Kluyveromyces lactis: one gene and its partner. The protein of the gene in region 2 binds, or shares a complex with, the protein of the main gene of each other region. Links are inferred from orthologs where the notes say so. Each region holds a gene or a part of one and is shown on either strand. Other genes may lie near its edges.

Region 1 (5,052 bases), on a different chromosome or scaffold from region 2:
ATATTGGACGGAAAACACTTTGATAAACTCCGTTACCCGGAGTAAGGAGATCATTCACACTAACATGAAATTTTTTTTGCCAGTATATAAAATCAGATACATATTTCTTCGTTTCCACTTATAGGCCTTTCAATGATTAAATACATTAGAACTATTTTAGTTTAACCTTAGTTACTATTTGTTTCCTAAAAGATCAACATCAATATTATCGCTCCACGGTTATCCCTGTGTAAGATTTCGTTCTGCGCGGGGACCGGGTTATGTGTTGTTCACTATTTCCTGGTTTTAATAATTTGTGTTGAAGCGTAGATTTAATACCAAGTACGTTGCTGGGCGCCTGATATTGAGTCAATTTGATTATGATCTATTGGGAATCAGCTGTATCTACATTTTCTCCACTTTAATGACCGTAATGTTTATAATTCTTGGTAGTATTTCTTACTTTCGTTTATTTTATTATATTTAGGAACTTCCGTCGCGGTTATGTACAGAGAGCGTTACTATAGAGCATTCTTTCTAGTTAGATAATCAAACCTAGAGTACGTGTACCCGATGAATGGTAAATCTTCCTTTGCATTGGATTGAGGAACCCCTTGTTGCTGTGTCATCATCTGTTCTCTTTGTCTTGCAGCTTGTGCCATTGCTGGTGAATCAGGGACATTTTCTAATTCATCAGTTGGGAAGAACCTAGTATCTGTGACACTGGACAACTTAGGAATATAAGGAGCTTCCACTTGCCTGATAGTGTTCCAATCAACACCACTGAAGAAAGGATGTGCCTTAATTTCATCGGCACCACCATGTCTACCTAGACGATTTTCAGAGTGAGTTAACAATCTTCTGATTAGATCTTCAGCTTCATAAGAAATATGAATATCATCGGGGAATTGCAAAGTTTGTTCGAAATTCATGATCTTACGATACGTTTCTTGTGGTGTTTCAGAGCAAAATGGAGGCCAACCAATTAGACACTCGTACATAATAGCTCCTAATGACCACCAATCACATTCCTGACCATAACCTTGGTACAGGAAAATTTCAGGTGCAATATAATCCGGAGTACCAACAGTAGAGTATGCCATTAGTCTACGCGACTTTCTCCAAGTTTGCATTTGTTGTCTATTTGTCATGGTTAAATGAATGGCGTCAACCAACATTGTATTTCTATTACCATTGTTTGTTTCGTTTGGGAGCTGAGGTTTTTGTAGATTTAATTGCTGTTGTTGCTGTTGTTGTTGCTGTTGTTTCTTTGCCTCGTCCTCTTGTAATAACTTTTTGTAGTAACTTGAATCGTGAGTCTTATGGAACCCCGTACTCAAACCAAAATCTGATAGTTTAATGTGGCCTCTAATATCTATCAAGATATTATCTGGTTTAATATCTCTGTGAATAAAGCCCAATTTATGAATGACCTCGATAGCAAGTATACATTCTGCCATGTAGAATCTTGTCACATCTTCTGTGAAAATTTGCCATCTGATTAACATGGTCATCAAGTCACCACCCGGCAAAAACTCCATAATTAAATACAAATATTGTGAATCTTGAAAGGAATAATACAATGAAACAACCCACGGAGAATCACTTCCCGCTAGAACATCCCTTTCAGCCTTTACGTGAGCTAACTGATCTTTGTTGTACATTTCCGATTTCAGCAATGTTTTCATAGCATATATCTTGCCTGTGTCTTTCTTTTGTACCAATCTAACTTCACCAAAGGCACCTTTACCGATGACTTTCACTGAATTGAAGTCGTCCAACGATAATCTCGTTCTACGTAGTCTCAAAAATTGTGACTCCTTTTTACCTAAAGAAGCAAGCTGTCTATTCTTACGTTCCTCGGACCAGTCCTGGGATGCCAATTCGGATTCCAGTTCCAATCTTCTTTGATTTCTTTCAATAGCATAACCAACACTACTCTGATAAAAGTTCTCTATCTTGAGCTTAACAGCAGCTGCTTTGTCTTGGGTAGTTTTGGTCAATAGGTCAGGTCTTCTCTCAAAATACATGTAATTATTCGCCGATCCATTCTGTTGTTGAGCTTGCTGCTGAGACTGTTGCTGAGTTTGTCGTTGTCCTTGCTGCTGGGCCTGTTGAGTTTGTTGTTGCTGCTGCTGCTGCTGCTGCTGCTGCTGTGCATGATACGTATTGTGTTGAGGTGACTGAGGTTGGGAAGAGCTTTGTTGCTGAGTAAATGTTGGCGGTGTTTGCTGTGTCTGTTGATGTACCGATCTCACAGGACTCTGTTGACCATTCTGCTGTTGCTGCAGTGGTGGCGGGATGTACAAACCGGACTCACTGGCAACAGAATATTGACCGGGAGATGTATGCTGAGCGGATTGATATACCTTCGAATTAGAGTTGTTGTTATGTGAATAAATGCTTTGAGTTGGTGGTGGAGTCGCTGGATAATTCAAGTTGGGCACATCAGTAAACCCTCCATTCGGATAATATTGATTATTATGCGACTGAGGTTGCGATTGCTGTTGGGTCAGACGGTCTTGTAAAGACGGCTGTGATCCTTGTTGTTTCATATAATTGGTGCTGAACATGGGCTGAGAAGGTTCCGAAAAGGGCATGTTTCCCTGTTGCTGAAAATCGTTTGGACGACCAGAAGGCTGTTGATAGTAGTTCTGATTCGAATATCCACCGTACATTACGTGTTGTTGCTGAAGTAGCGACGTCCAAACGGCCTTGTTGACGTGAAATATGTCTCTAAACGTTAACAGTATAGTTTCATGTTCGTTGTTTTCTAAAACAAGTTTGATTCGATGTTTTTGTTTTTCCAATGAAATTGGCGATTATGGCAAATATTGAAAACATATTTTAGACAATGGAATGAAAAAAGTGGTATACATGGTGAGTATGTACATGTTATATTAGCTAAGGTCATATGTAAGCTTTACTGCCTGCAGGATCAATAATGTAGCCTGAGTCCTACGCTATTCTTTGTAAACAATTCTTGTTAATAAACTCTTATGCGTTCTGCTGAAAATTATACTTAGAATACGTATAATACAAATCGCAAAGTGAAGAAGTACCCAGTGGAGACTAAACTATACAAATGACAGATATGAGATTATAAATGTGATGAAAGAGTATATGTGAATTCGTAATACTTATAGAAAAGTTAAAAAATTGACAAATGGTAACAAATTGGTCTTCCAAAAGATAATCTCAGAATTGCAAAGCTTGACCCTTTTGCTTCTTTTCACCACCCAATTCGAAGTGCTTACATCTCTTCAAAGCCAATTGGGTCTTGGTCTTACAGGACATACATTCCAATCTCAAAACGACCTTCTTGGTAGTCTTAGCTTTCTTGTGGAAAATTTGCTTGGTTTGACCACCGAAACCAGATTGTTTACGGTCATATCTTCTCTTACCTTGAGCGTACAAGGAAGCCTTACCAGCCTTGTATTGGGTAACCTTGTGTTGGGCGTGCTTACGGCACTCCTTACCCTTACAGTAAGTCTTTCTGGTCTTTGGAACGTTAACTGTTAGAAATTAACATATCATAAGATAGTGATACATGTCGATGTTAGTAAAAAAATATTCTTTAGCTTCATCCAGCTTATTTTGATTGCAGGAATTCTATTCTCTTCTTCTTATTGTATAGGGAGGTCCAGGCTATCTGAACCCCAGTTGTTTAATACGACTGAGTTCCTGTTAATTATGTTCAGTCAGTGTAGCGTTGACTTCACTGATATACAATTCTCTGAGGTTGTCTCGACTACACCGAATTAAGAAACATAGGGACAACAAATAACCCAAATTACTTCCTCCAGCGTGAACAGGGTTTTATGCTAGTGAATCGTCCATACTTCGACCAAAATACTGATCTTTTGATATAGTTCACCAACTCAAATGAACTCTCCCCCCTTGTCGATGCAATATCTGAATTTCCAATACGGTTGGTGTTTTCTCATTGATTCACTCTGAAATGCTGTATTCTGTTAAATAACCATAGCTCATTTCATGTTCACTTGGTACTAAACTTCAAACGTTCCATTCTTCCCTCAGGATACCAAAAATCGAATAAACCACTGACAATCTCCACGGTATATTTTAAATCTTGTTCACATACCCATTGTGACTGATTTGATCTCTGTTGAGTTACGCTTTCTGAATGTACTGAAACAAATAGGTGCTATAACAATCAACTATACGATATATCTACTATGATGAACTTTCCTTGTGTAATATTTTAATGTTGAAAAATTCAAGGTGGTTCAATCCTTCCAGATGAGAATTGCCGAATGGCAGCCATCGAAGCAGAGACGGCAGCAAGAGTGAAAGGCGAACAAGTCCAGACGAGCAGGCGTTACTGGCCCCCCGACTACGCAGGTCCAAGCTAGCCTGGGCGGGAAGCAGTAGGCAGAAGCAAGCATGAATGCGTAATGTGTTGGCAAGAGAGACTACACTGCCGGTAGCCCAGACCAGACCGACCAGGAGGAAGGTCTGTTAGTGGAAAGTGAGTGATTCGGCCTGGTTAGGCCACACCAATGCCACTAGGCAATGTTATTTTCCCACAGACGAATATAGTCCTAATTGGGAAACAATTTTATTTTTCACATTTCAATTGAACACGAAAATCAATGTGTGGGTGGTTAAGAGAGATTTTATGGTGCACGGATGCAAACAGTCACAAGAACCGTCTTCTGTCTATACAAGCTTTCTTTTCAGGATACTAAACCCTTGAATGTCGACAGCTTAGACTGACGCGCATCAATTTCTTTTTTTCCTCTTTAATTGGTTCAATATACCGGACAGCGTTAACACAAGAGAACGTACCTTAGAAGGACGCTGCCACCAAGGGTCCGGTTTTCTTGCCGGTCCCTTCTCAAGGATGCTCAAGTAAACTTTGCTTCGGCAAGCATGTTTTCGGTGCATGTAGATTGACTTTGGTAGCCATCCTGATGTGCCTCGGCCATCCGTCACGTCAGAGCACAAAGATTCAATTATTCCAAATCGGGAAACCTACTGAAAAACCAATTGCCTATAATACAAGAATGCGAAACATTGAACAAGAAGAAGAATAAAAAGAGTAAATAA
Region 2 (6,703 bases):
TATATTTAGCTATTAAGTTGGAAATAGATCTTTTTGTATACCACCTATTGAAATTATTCCAAAACAACATTCAAAGATCTACACCTAAGGGAAGGATATTAAGTGTAACACTAGTAGTAGTGGTAAACCTCTAAAATCTTGTTGTGCTCGGTATCGGTTTTTTTCATTAGAAATTCCTGATACGATATACATATTTAGTACCCGACTCGTCTGTAGTATTTCTGTGGTTTAGGATCTTAAAGTGACATTTGTTTCTCAAATAAAGAGAATTCTATTAACTGCAACTAACAAAAACGAAACTAGAAGAAGTTTCTATATTCCAAATGAGTTACTAGAAAAATTTGCATTCGTTATATAGACATATATCAAGATAATATACATGAAATTAGATAAAAAATGTAAGCGTTATAGGTATACGCCGTTCGGATACGTGAATAGAACTGAAGAAATTAATGGAACTCATTTGAGAAAGAGTTCAACTTCTCATAAATGGGTTTAATGCACGAACAGTCAAGCATGGTAACGCCATACCAATTTCTGCTCTTAAGAGTAGAGGAACTTGTTGAAGTTCTCTGATCTCTTGAATATAGTTGTCACCTTCTTCTCTTGTGACAGTGGTTTCGAAATATCCTTCCAATGCATCTGCGTTGTTGAACTTTCGCAAATTCAAAGATGGTGGTGTCAATTTCAATTCTTTCAATTCTTTGCTAAATTGCTCACTAATCAAATTGTTCTGCAAGCTGTTTTGATTGAAAGCAATTTCTTTACTGCTGGAGTTAAACTTATTTTTAATAGAGTTTCTGTAAGATTTTGGATTCTGTTCGTCAGATGGCACAAAAGTCGCACTATCAACACCTTTCTTCCAGTAGAGTTCTAAGACTCTCTCGGCAACGTCAAATTCTGCTTTAACAAGAGGTAACTGATCACCGTGAACTCTCTTTTCAATACCTAATTCAGGGATAAACACATCAAAAGAAGATTCATATACTTGCAAAACAGTGGCCAAAGTTAGTACTTGACCGTTTTGATTCCCCATGTCATTTGTTGTTTTGCAGAGGAGTAAATGGATAGCCTGTTCCTGTGCGTGATGTGCACAATCCTTTTTGAAATTACAATATTCAGACGTGATTTTTAAAGATTCAATAGTTTCTTTATACTCTGTACCATTAATTATGCTCTTCAACTGCCTATGAACCACATGATCAGAGTATCTTCTCAAAGGAGCTGTGAAATGTGTGAACAATGGCAAATTCAATGAATAATGCGCAAATTGGTCAGGTTCGACTTTACCAGATATGAAATATTTAGCCGGTGTTAAGGTCTTGGATAAAAATAACTCAACCGCCATTCTTGTAGTGTTATTATCTATGGCAAGAATTGAATTCAAAACTGATTCAGAACTTGTTATATCCATCTCAACGCCAAGTTTTTCAACTTTCTTTTGGAACGTTTTCAATTTGGTAGAAATTGGTTCTGGTTGTCTTCTCAAGAAAGCAACATCTCCCAGGGAAGTGAACAATCGAGTAGCAACGGTATTATTCACTTTACGCTCTATTTCCGATAAAAGGGTCAAAGCTTTAGAACGTTGTAAAATATTCAAATCAACTTTAACCTTCTCGTCATCGAGAGATTCCAAAAGGGGCAAAGTCCTGTATAAATCAGCATTTTTGGAGTTAAGCCTACAGCGGTAAAATTCTTTAGCCACTGCCTCAAGTTTCTCAACAAACTTTGAGCCCGAAGCTGAAGATCTCTCCAATTCTTGATTAAGCCTGTCATGTGTCAATGAGGTGTTTGGCTTGACACGAGTCTCGCCTATCCACGTTGTAACAATATCAAAGTTTTCAGGCTTCAGTTCATATATTATACTGACAGTGTTTGACAGTTTCTCGGGCTGCAAACTTAAGAATTCATTCAGAGCGGCTGGAAGCAAACCAACAGTCTTCTGTGGCATGAAGACAGCGCTAGATCTTTTCCTAGCTCTTCTATCCAAAGATGAACCTTCTTCAATATGGACTGTTACATCAACAACATGAAATCCTAATTCAAGGTTACCGTTGTCAGTGTCTCTTAAATGGACCGCATAATCAGAAACTTCACCAGTTTCTGAAATGGCAATGACATTTTCATAAGTACGCCTTGTTTTGCTTTGCTCTTCTGAAAGCAATACAGGTGCAAAACTATCTCTCTCCTTTGTACGGTCCTGAGGGTCTAAATATTCATCACTTAAGAAATTATTGTCTCTCAAAATTGAATCAATCTCAGTTTTTGGATCGTTCACATCGCCTAATTGCGAGACAAGAGTACCAAAGGGATGCAAAGAAGTGATTGGCCAGCGCTTGATGCTAGCAACGAAAACTTTATTCAGATACTTATCAGCATTTTCGACGAAGTCCTTAGGCGCCTGTTCTATCGAAATGGCAATTAGAGGAACTTTCTTATCGGTAGGTTTGAACCAAACAATTTTCGGCTTATTTGGCTTATTCACATCGTTGTTCGCTTGTTGAGATGGTCTTAATAGACCCAAAGTACCGCTAAATAGTTGGCCCGGAATACGGTCTAACACCGCGACTACGTGTCCAGCGTACAAAGGCCTGTAATCATCATTAATCTCTTCTTCCTCGACCAATAATAAAGATTGACCTTCAACCTCTACGTCATCATTCTTCTTTTGAGTTGGGCGCTGCTTCAATGATCCTCTTCTTTTGATGGAGCCAGATGAAGATCCCAATGTAGCATCTGATCCTTTATTTTCACTAGAGCATGATGCGCTTGTAACAATACTTGTTGAAGCATCATTATGGTAATCATCTTTAGAGTCTAGTGGAATAATATCTTGTTGAGTGCTTGCATCTTTTCTTCTCTTCTTCTCTTCCTTTTCCTTTTTCGATTCCCAGACATCGTCAACCATCAAAAGCTCAACGGCAACAAGATCACCTTCCAAAGCTCTATTACGATCCTTCGAACCACAAATGAAAATATCGGCGTCCAACACACCGTTGGTCGAAACCCAGGCATCCGATCTATTTTTCTTGTTGACCCGTAGAATACCTGCAACCAATTTGCCTTCTTCAATTAGTTGAGGAATGTTAGCTTGTGGCAAATAGGGTGCGAAAAGTGATTTACGGCCATTGGAGTTTTGCTGGCCATTTGCCGAGGTAAAACTGTGGGAAGAAGCATTGGATCCACGTGATTTATGACCTGGTTGGAAGACAGGTGGTGGTTCCAAACCTGGGTGGCCTGAATATTCTCTTGAATGCGTTCTAGAGTGATGAAATGGCGATACCTGCTGTTGCTGTTGTTGCAACCTCCAATTACCGTCGATACCTTCATTTTTCGAATTAGTGCGACGATGCGGGGTTCCAACGGGTATGAAATCATCATTGTTTTCCTTTTGGTTCAACTTAGCAGGTGGAAACTGGAATGATCTATTAGGGGACATATTTGACTGAGTTCTACGGTGACCTAGATTCTTAGACTCGGTTGTTGGAGATCCAGGGAATTTGAAGCTCGTTTGTTCATTTTCATCGACTAACTTAGGGATATCTTGAACATTGTCAATTTTGATCTGAGGTCCACTTTCTCTTTTTGCTTGTTCTTCTGCAGCGGCTCTCTTGGCTTCATTCAAACCAATGGATTGTCTTCTGGAATGTCCATATACGCTCGTCTGAGAGCCAGTTCTTCTGTGTCCACCTGCAGCAGGATTTTGTTTGTGATCGTTATTGTTGTAGAATGCAGAACCACTTCTAGAATGAGACCTGCCTTTTCTATTACCTGAATTTGGGGACAGTTGATACTGCACGTTGGGTGGTTGCGGTAAAAAGTTGGCGGCAGATTGTCCCTGTACGCCTAAGTTTCCGCCACTACTATTATTCTCGATCTGTTTTTGTAGAGTAAACTGCTCAATCATTAAATTCGTAAGTTCAGAAGGAGATTTCCTATGAGCAATGTGAATTTGCTTCGGAGTACCCTTACCACCGGTAGTCTGAACAAATCTTTCTTGTTCTGGCATAATAACTTTAGGTTAATTTTGCCCTTTAGTACTGATATTGTTGTAAATATTATATTTTGGTATCCAGGTCACAGATTCTATAGTTACTATGATTCCGAGATAATCCGCTAAGATTCCGCCAATAAATTCAAGACGTAGTTCTATCAATCAGTGCCAAAAACTATAAGTGATTGAGCCGTTCAAAGGAAAATTTAACTAAAAGCCAATAATGTATATCGTCAAAGAAAATAAAAAGTCCCAATTTCAAATTAGCAATAAAACGGGAAGATCGACAGAATGACAAAAAGAGATTTCAAAAGGAGGGGAGAAGCTATTTCACTTGAGGATAAGTCAAATTGTAAAACGTACAATGTTTGGTGAAAGCACAAGTAAATGATATCACTGATGACAAAGCTTTCGAAAACCTTGTATCACACGGTATTGCAAAACTCCAAAAAAAAAGAAGGGAACTAGAAAGAAATATTCAAGCCCGAGTAAAACGAAGATAGATAATCCTAAGAAAACAGAAAAAAACACACTCGCAGAGAGAAAATAACCCTCTATAAACTATAATTGATAGCTTTGCAGGACTTTGAAGCTGTTGGTCCGTTCTGTTTTGGGGGATCAAATTTGGCTTTACTCCTTAAATTGATCTTTTCTTCCTTCTAAATTCAACTTCTTCAAAAATTCATTTTATAAAATCAGCTATTTCCACTTTTAGCAGTTTCTAAAAAAAATCTTTTCTGTTACCCTCCACTTGCAAAAAGTCAAATTCGGAACAAGTCAGTTAGATTGGACGCCAAAGTCAAGAAGTATGAAAAGTCCGTCCATAGCTCAACGAAACATTATGTTGAACGATATCGTTCGTCAGTTCAACAAGTCTATTGCAAGTAGAATATTAAAAAATTGTCACTAATTAGCATGTTTTTTCATATTATTTATTATATTCTATCTAAAACGAGGTGGATCCACACTGTTTTACATGTAATAATATATGGAGTATTTTTAGCCTCACAAGTAATGTCACCCGGACATGTGCCTGTTTGAAAGACAAGGCATCCTCATATACAATGAAGCTGCTTGAGAGATCTTGGGCATGCACCATCGAAAGTAGCACTTACAGCGTGACTGTCGTATACATGTCCAAGGTTGTCTCCGTTTCGCTAAAAAAAGACTTTATTTCTTGAAGAGTTTAGGTATTTGTACATTTATATAGATTGGGAATTTAAAGTTCATGCAGGTCGATATACTTATTCGTAATTGGATGGATATCTGTAGTCTGTCAATTCATAATAGTTTTCTTTGATGTTCCTGACGCTAACAAATCTGTTCAAGATATTTCCAGACCCGGCCTTGTCATTAGTACCGCTCATTCTGGCACCACCAAACCATTGTTGAGCGACAACAGCCCCGGTAGATTTATCGTTGATGTAGAAGTTTCCTGCACTGTATTTCAATTTTTCATCAGCGATCTTAATAGCCTCACGGTCACGGGCGAATATGGATCCCGTTAAACCATATTGGCTGGTGGAATCAACCAGTTCACACACGTCTTCGAATTTTGCGTCTGGATATTCGTATACAGTCAATATTGGACCAAAGAATTCTTGGCTTAAATAAGGATGTCTTGGATTTGTAGTCTTTATGATTGTTGGTTGGATGTAATAACCCTTAGATTTATCATGGAAGCCTCCGAAAACAATTTCCAATTCTGGATCGTTCTTGGCATCGTCAATCACTTTGGCCAATTTATCAAAACTACCTTCATGGATCACCGGGCCAATAAAACCGTGTAAATCACCACCGTTAATCTTAGATGCCGATGTGTTCACTGGTTGAACTTCAGATAAGACACCTCCTAAATCACGAAAAAATTCCTCGCTCTTACTTTCGGGCAAGTATACTCTGGAAGTAGCAGAACATTTTTGACCTTGGAACTCAAATGCACCTCTCAAAGTGGATAGAACAGAATGAGGAATGTTAGCACTTGGATGGATCAAGTGGAAATTCTTACCACCAGTCTCACCGACAATACGCGGATAGTCTCTGTACAAACCATTCACAACACCCTTCTGGATATCTCCATATAGTTGCTTGAAAACAGCAGTAGAACCAGTGAAATGTAAAGCAGCGAATTCCGAGTCGCTCAAAACTTCCTTGGTGACTTCCACTGCGTTACCTGGGACAAAATTCACAACACCATTTGGCAAACCTGCTTCTTCCAAAACAGTTAATAACAAGTAGTTGGACAAATTGGCGTTTTGAGAAGGTTTCCACACAACAGTGTTACCCATCAACGCAGGCGCACCGATCAAATTACCAGCAATGGCAGTGAAATTGAACGGAGTTACTGCATACACAAAGCCTTCTAAAGGTCTGTATTCAGCCCTGTTCCATACACCGGGAGAAGATTCAATGGGTTGTTGGGCGTACAATTCATTAGCATACTTCACGTTGAATCTGAAGAAATCAGCCAATTCAGTGATGCAATCGATTTCTGCTTGGTATACATTCTTACCTTGACCCAACATAGTGGCAGCGAGCATGTCATAACGGTATTTGGTACAAATCAAATCAGCTGCCTTCATGAAAACGGAGGCACGCTCGTAATATGGCAATTTGTACCATTTGTCCTTAGCTTGTTTAGAAGCTTGGATTGCAGCTTTAACATCTTCATTAGTAGCCTGAGTAACGTTAGCTAAAACTTCAGAGTGG

The links.
Region 1: the proteins of SSD1 (region 2) and CBK1 are in contact, whole or in part, in a crystal structure (PDB 5NCL), measured with the Saccharomyces cerevisiae proteins. The link is inferred for Kluyveromyces lactis from reciprocal best matches to the Saccharomyces cerevisiae genes SSD1 and CBK1. Residues at the interface, in NP_010579.1 of Saccharomyces cerevisiae: Phe211, Lys212, Phe213, Pro214; in NP_014238.3 of Saccharomyces cerevisiae: Asp450, Val451, Arg453, Phe454, Phe672, Arg673, Gly674, Val675, Ile680, Glu684, Ala685, Pro686.

What each region holds. Positions count from the first base shown.
Region 1 is NC_006040.1:668,595-673,646, forward strand, and holds CBK1 (serine/threonine protein kinase CBK1), read right to left. Parts: upstream 2,658-5,052; coding exon 501-2,657; downstream 1-500. Other genes in the region: RPL42A (60S ribosomal protein eL42), read right to left, coding at 3,178-3,494, 4,085-4,088. UniProt on the Saccharomyces cerevisiae protein: Protein kinase that seems to play a role in the regulation of cell morphogenesis and proliferation.
Region 2 is NC_006039.1:904,154-910,856, reverse strand, and holds SSD1 (mRNA-binding translational repressor SSD1), read right to left. Parts: upstream 4,010-6,703; coding exon 476-4,009; downstream 1-475. Other genes in the region: PUT2 (1-pyrroline-5-carboxylate dehydrogenase), read right to left, coding at 5,239-6,703. UniProt on the Saccharomyces cerevisiae protein: Can suppress the lethality due to deletion of SIT4, and partially the defects due to BCY1 disruption. Is implicated in the control of the cell cycle G1 phase.